Linked DNA regions of Oryctolagus cuniculus. The protein of the gene in region 1 interacts with the protein of each later gene in a biochemical or structural test. Links are inferred from orthologs where the notes say so. Each region holds a gene or a part of one and is shown in the gene's direction. Other genes may lie near its edges.

The links.
Region 2: the proteins of JUP (region 1) and CTNNA1 form a complex in vitro, tested with the Homo sapiens proteins (2 studies listed by BioGRID). The link is inferred for Oryctolagus cuniculus from reciprocal best matches to the Homo sapiens genes JUP and CTNNA1.

What each region holds. Positions count from the first base shown.
Region 1 is NC_091448.1:20,947,560-20,950,679, forward strand, and holds the end of JUP (junction plakoglobin), read left to right. Parts: intron 1-289; coding exon 290-440; intron 441-522; coding exon 523-644; intron 645-1,270; coding exon 1,271-1,310; intron 1,311-1,487; coding exon 1,488-1,639; 3' UTR 1,640-1,653; intron 1,654-1,906; 3' UTR 1,907-2,564; downstream 2,565-3,120. UniProt on the Homo sapiens protein: Common junctional plaque protein. The membrane-associated plaques are architectural elements in an important strategic position to influence the arrangement and function of both the cytoskeleton and the cells within the tissue.
Region 2 is NC_091437.1:26,592,708-26,596,523, forward strand, and holds part of CTNNA1 (catenin alpha-1), read left to right. Parts: intron 1-1,913; coding exon 1,914-2,117; intron 2,118-3,816. UniProt on the Homo sapiens protein: Associates with the cytoplasmic domain of a variety of cadherins. The association of catenins to cadherins produces a complex which is linked to the actin filament network, and which seems to be of primary importance for cadherins cell-adhesion properties.

The sequences.
Region 1 (3,120 bases):
AAAAACTTAAATAATATATGAGGAGGTGCTTTATGCTACAATGTCAGATGCAAAAAAGCAGGACTCAGTATTGTATCGACTGTATGCTAATTGGGCTGGGAGCCAGACCTGGCAGTGCGCCAAGCTGTTAGCAGAGGCCAGGGCGGGTTTTTTGGTTTGTTTATTTCCGGGGCTCTCCGCACTTTTTTGGGATGAGCTTGGGCTGAACGTGGAAAAGGGCCGGCCGTGCGGGCCTGCGGGCCGCCTGCCCGCCTGCCTCACACCACCACGCCCCGCGCGCTCTCTGCAGCTGCTGTACTCATCGGTGGAGAACATTCAGCGTGTGGCCGCAGGTGTGCTGTGCGAGCTGGCCCAGGACAAGGAAGCCGCCGACGCCATTGACGCCGAGGGCGCTTCTGCCCCGCTCATGGAGCTGCTGCACTCCCGCAACGAGGGCACTGGTGAGGGGCTGTGCGGGGCAGGGGGGAGCGGGCTGTGTGGAGGCCCGAGTCTGACCCAGCCTGTCCCTGCCTGTCCACTCAGCCACCTACGCCGCTGCTGTCCTGTTCCGCATCTCTGAGGACAAGAATCCAGATTACCGGAAGCGCGTGTCCGTGGAGCTCACCAACTCGCTCTTCAAGCACGACCCGGCGGCCTGGGAGGCTGTGAGTACCCTGCGTTGAACTGCAGTGCGCGGTGGTGCAAGGCGACATTTGAGGGCTCCTAGCATGCTGTCAGCGTCATATTGTTAATTTTATAATTGGATCATTTATGGCAGTTCCTAGCACATGGAATTAGGTTGAACCATATATATCTTTACTATTTTTTTAAAGATTTATTTATTCATTTGAAAGGCAGAGTTAGAGAAGGAGAGTGTCCATCCACTGGTTCACTCTCCAAGTGGCCACAGTGGCCAGGAGTCTGGAACTCCATCCGGGTCTCCAACAGAAACCCAAGCACTTGGACCATCCTCCACTGCCTTCCCAGGCGTGTTAGCAGGGACTGAACCAGTGCCCATAGGGGATGCAAGCGCTGCAGGCGGTGGCTTAACCCACTGCGCCACACCACCGGCCCCCCAGATCTGTTTTGACCCACCAAAGTGGCCGTTTCATTCTGCCCAAAGGAAGAGCAAGTGTTTGGGGTGGCAGGCAGAAAGCCGAGGTGCTGTGTAGGTGTGAGGTCTCCGCCCCCACCATCCCGTGTTCCTCCAAGGGGGCCTCGCTCCCCTCCCCCAACTGAGGGCTGCCCAGGTGTGAGTCCTTAGCGCCGCCCCGCCCCTCTCGTTGCGCAGGCGCAGAGCATGATCCCCGTGAACGAGCCCTATGCGGATGGTAAGTACAAGTGGCCTCCCCAGGGCCTGGGACAGCCCGTGTCTGTGGCAGTCCACGTGTGCTCCAGCCTGGATCCCCTGGCATGGGAGTCTGGGGTGAGGTCAGGCCCCTGGCCGTGGGCAGGGGCACAGGAGGTGGCCCGCAGACCCCCACAGGGAGCCCCCTTCTCGTCCCCAGACATGGACGCCACCTACCGCCCCATGTACTCGAGTGATGTGCCCCTCGACCCGCTGGAGATGCACATGGACATGGACGGGGACTACCCCATCGACACCTACAGCGATGGCCTCAGGCCTCCCTACCCCACCGCCGACCACATGCTCGCCTAGCCGCCCCCGCCCCGGTACGGCCCCGCCCTCCCGGCCACCATGGCACCTGCCTTGCCGCGTCTCCACCCTCTTGCTGAAACCCTGGCTCCTGTGGGGGGAATGGGAGTGGGGTCAGGGGTGTTCCATGCCTCCCAGCCTCTTGTTCCAGGGGAGACCCCAGGCCCTTCTCGGGGAGGGGGCGGTGGGCAGGTGACACGGGAGTAGTGCGAGTTTCTGGGGGCACAGGTCTGCCAGGCTGCCTGACCCACTGTGTCTGCCTCCCCCCAGGTGCGGCTCCTCATCCGAGAGGCCCCCGTGCGGGCGATGGGGGAGACAGAAGTGCCTGAGCGGGGAGCCGGGGCTGCGCCTTGCTGCTGCGCCCGGGCCGCCGGAGTTCCTCCGCGGGGTCTTTCTTGGGATGGTGTCCTCTCGCTTTGCTGTCCTGGGCCCTGGCCACTGAAGCTTTACACGCAAGCCGCCCGCTCGGTACCCCCAGCAGCCCCTGGCCCACCTGTCTCCCGCTGCCCGAGTCCCGGCCTCCGGGCTTCGGTTCCTTCTCTGGGCCTGGTTTTTCTCACTGAACCCCACTGAGCAACTAAGGCCCCAGATCCCGAAATCCAAAGCTTCTCATGAAAAGTGCGGGGGTGAGGGGACGGAGACGGGGCATGGGAACCCCGCCGTGCCTCTCCAGCGGGCGGGGCTAGCTCTGGCCCACCCTGGGTGCTTGGGGGACAGCTCCTGCGCACTCCCCCGCACACAGCTGCCCCCTGCGGTGTGTAGTGAGGGGCTTTCTCTTCTCTTCTTGCTTCTGGCTCCTCCCACCCCCTGCACATGGGTGGGGGGGCTGCGGGAGTCCCAGTGGAGAGTTTTATTATCATCGCTTTATGTTTTTGGTTATTGGTTTTTTGTATAGACCAAAGCAAAGAAAATAAAAGTAACACAGATACGATGGGCCATCAAGGGGCATGGTTGGGGAGGCACGGGGCTCCCTGCCCCTCCACCCGCCGTGGTCTGTGGCTTGCTGTCCAAGCCCCTTGTGGGTCTGCAGTGGACCCACCCCGGGTCCTGCCCACTTCCCCTCTGATCCCCCACTGCCCACTCTGTCCTCCGCCATCCCAGGGACAGCCAGCACCGATCGCTGTGCCTGCTTCATCCACCCCACCGGACCCAGCTCAGACCTGACCTGGAAGCACTTGCTCTGTGGCCCCTGCTTTCCTGGCCACGCCCCGCTGGTGCTCGGCTGACCTCCCTCATCATGTCAGTCAGGCTCTCGGCTTACATGATGGCCACTCACAGTGCTCCTGGCAAACCTGAGAACAAGAGGCACCTGTGCCCCTGCTGGCCCCACCTGCCCAGTCTGGGGCCAGAGCACCCGATTAGGAGGTGGCCTAAGGTCCCCTGAGCGCTGCCTGCTGAGGCTGTGGGAGGGGACAGAGGACCGAGTTTCCAGAGCAGGCGGCCTTTTAACCATGCACTCTATACTCTGTGTCCAGAGCCGTGAC
Region 2 (3,816 bases), on another chromosome or scaffold:
CCATGATCATTCATTCCTCATTTTCTGTTAGCCAGAAAGCATTGTATATTCAGTTTTGACTGGAGAAATCTTATATTAACCTAAAAGAAAGGTAAACAGCTGAAAAGTAGGCTAATATTAAACTTAAGGGTTTGCATGTTCAGTTTTAAAACTAGGAGTTCTTTGGGAGTGGGTGAAGAAATGTATCCTTATTGGAAAAGGGCAAGCTATCGTTAGGAAAAAATTGGCATTTAAGTTGAAATCAATAGGGACACAGTCCCTTTAAAGAACTAGTAAAGTCACAATATCTGCGTAGATGGTTACCAGTATAAATGTTATCAAGGGGGGAATCTGGAGGGAAGCCAATAGCTGCTGCCCTGGGGTTGTTGATAATTGACCTTATACCTGTAGCTTGTGACTAGATCTTACTCAGCACTGGGAGAACTGGATTCACGTGGAGTTGGGGGGGGTGGTGGGGAGGGGGAAGGAAAGACAGAGAACGGATTTTTTTTCTTTAAAAAATTTATATGGCCGGCGCCGCGGCTCACTAGGCTAATTCTCCACCTTGCGGTGCCGGCACACCAGGTTCTAGTCCCGGTTGGGGCACCAGATTCTGTCCCGGTTGCCGTTCTTCCAGGCCAGCTCTCTGCTGTGGCCAGGGAGTGCAGTGGAGGATGGCCCAAGTGCTTGGGCCCTGCACCCCATGGGAGACCAGGATAAGTACCTGGCTCCTGCCATCGGATCAGCGCAGTGCTCCGGCCGCAGCATGGCAGCCGTGGCGGCCATTGGAGGGTGAACCAACAGCAAAGGAAGACCTTTCTCTCTGCCTCTCTCCCTCTCTCACTGTGCACTCTGCCTGTCAAAAAAAAAAAAAAAATTATTTATTTGAAAGGCAGATCAAAAAAAGAGAAAAAGATCTTTCATCATCTGGTTCATTTTCTGAATGTCCACAGTAACGTGATCTGAGCTAGGAACTCCCTTTGATCTTCCACATGGGTGGCCAGGTCCCAAGTACTTGGACTATGTTCCACTCCCTTCCCAGCAGCATTAGCAGGAAGCTGGTTCAGAAGTAGAGCAGCCAGGACTGGAACTGGCAGCACCTTAACTTGCTGCACCACAGTGCCATCTTCCCCCCTACCCCCCTTTTAAAGATTTATTTGTTTGTTTATTTGAAAGGCAAAGCAACAGAGAGAGAGAAAATAGAATGAGTTTTCATCCACTGGTTCACTCCCCAATTGGACACAACAGCCAAATCTGGTTCAGGCCAAAGCTAGGAGCCAGAACACTGTCTGGTCTTGTGCATAGATGACAGGGGCCCAAGTGCATGGAATGCTTTCAGTCTCCCAGCATGTCCATTAACAGGAGGCTGGGTCAGCGGCAGAATAGCCAGGACTCAAATTAGGTACTCCAGTAGGGACATGAACATCCCATCCCGTGTGGAAACTTAACTGCGTCAAATACCTTTCCTGTCTTAAACTTGGAGGACAGAGGTCAGTGTTATTTTTACTTTGTGGTAAAATAGTTCTTTTAATATCATGTAGCAGTTTTATATTTTGTGCATAAGAAAGTGAGAGAACTTACAGTTTTCTTGCAGTTTTCCTTTGATGATTATGTGAAGCATTTATAGGCTGACCTGTAGATATTTATAATAAGTATTATGGACATGGTAACATTTCTGTTCGCATTTGTGGTATGATACCTTGCCCAGCCCATTTGACTGGTGAGTATTGCTGCCACTATTTTCTTTTTGCAGTGACCTTCCACAGGCCAGCTTACATGGAATGGCCCTTCATCTGCCAAGAAGCATAACTTCCTTTCAGGCGTTGGGATCTTTGTTTTAAATCTTGATATTCCCAACCATTACTTTCTGTGCCTTCTTAAATAGTGGAAGGAACAGGGATGAGCACTAACATTTGGTGATGCTTCCTCCACAGAAACAAATTATTGTGGACCCCTTGAGCTTCAGTGAGGAGCGCTTTAGGCCTTCCTTGGAGGAGCGCCTGGAAAGCATCATTAGTGGGGCTGCCTTGATGGCCGACTCTTCCTGCACGCGTGATGACCGACGTGAGCGAATTGTGGCAGAATGCAATGCTGTTCGCCAGGCCCTCCAGGACCTGCTCTCGGAGTACATGGGCAACGTGAGTGTCTTTTCTTGAAGTAAGGTATTTGTCTCCAGAGTTCCACAACGTGTCTTTACCGTTACTGTGAGATATATCCGTCAGATAGGTTCTTGGCTCCTTGTCTATTGTGGTTGGAGCGTATTTCTCAAGGAATGGCTAAGTGGCTTTCTGAATTGTCCTTTTCTCTCCAGCTTTTTATTTTGAGGAACTTCACACATATACAAATCCTACAGTGCTCATGTATTTACCCTTCATGCACAGAATGTAGACATACTTGACTCGTAGATGCATCTCTGCATATGTGTGTAAATGCTTTCATGTGCATGTGAAGTGTACTTTTCTTCTCTGAAATGTTCGGAAGTGAGTTGCAGACACTGTGATACTTCACCTCTGTGTCTTTCAGTATGTGTCTTCCAAGGATGATGATCTTGGATACTATTAAAATTCCATTATCACAAATAGGTGCCCGAGCAGCTGATTTTGGGCAAAAGAGAATGCTGAATCCTTTTCTTGTTAATATTTATAATTTGTAACTTTTTAAATGAACCATACAGAATGTTTTAAGAGTAGATAATTGCCAAGTAGACCTCTATGAGGCAAACTGTGGGTAATGTTTGGGATTTTTTTTTTTTTTTTTTTTTTTTTTAAAAGACCTACAGAGAAAGGGAGAGAGAGATCTTCTATCTTTTGGTTCACTCCCGAGATGGCCACAGTGGTTAGGGCTGACTCAGACTGAAGGAAGGAGCTTCATCCTGGTCTCCCATGTAGGTCCCAAACGTTCGGCCAACTTCTGCTTTTCCCAGGCGATTAGCAGGGAAGCTGGAATAGCAGTGGAAAGCTGGGACAGGATTTGGTGCCCATATGGGATGCCAACATTGCAGTTGATAGCTTTACCCCCTGCGCCACAGTGCTGTCCTTGATGTTTTGAATTTTTTTAAAAAAAGTTATTTATTTGAGACGCAGAAAGAGAGAGAAAATGAGTGTTCCTGTTCACTGACTGATTCCCTAAATACAGACATCAGCTAGGGCTGGGCTGGACCAAAGTTGGGAGTCCGGTACTCAATCCACATCTGCCACATGAGTGAAAGGAGGTGAATTACCTGAGCCATCACTTTTGCCTCTGAGAGTCTGCATTAGCTGGAAGCTGGAATCAGTAGCCTGGACCAGGTATCAAACCCTAGACCCTCTGATATGAGATAGAGGATCATAATTGCTAGACTAAATTGTAATTGTAATTATTTTCTGTAGTCATGTTTTTTTTTTTTTCCCCCTTCCCTTATACATTCCCTTCTATTCCCGTTATTTAATGCTGGCTTACAGTTGTAGTAGTTTAGACTTTCTGTTCGGCATTTTACTGTTGAAAAGAAGGAATATATTAAATGAAAATTATATAAAGTAATTTTAAAGAAGTGAGGGACCATCTGAATTTTTTGTCATTACTAGTGGTTTTCTTTGCTAATTTAACACTTTTGAGGAAAAGATCTTAGTCCTTTTCTGGTTTGTTCACATCTTTGTTGTTTACTTACATGTGAAGAGATAATGGGGAGTCAGGATGGAATTCCTGCCGTGAAGATGAATGAGTGCCTTACTTTAGCTTCTTTGTACCATGTTGTGAAATTAGTGGAGCATATACAATTTGTTAAAGCCATTGCAATGTTTTGATCTTAGGCAACTTACCTCAGAAAAATGAGATTATAGGTTTAGTTAAATTGAATGG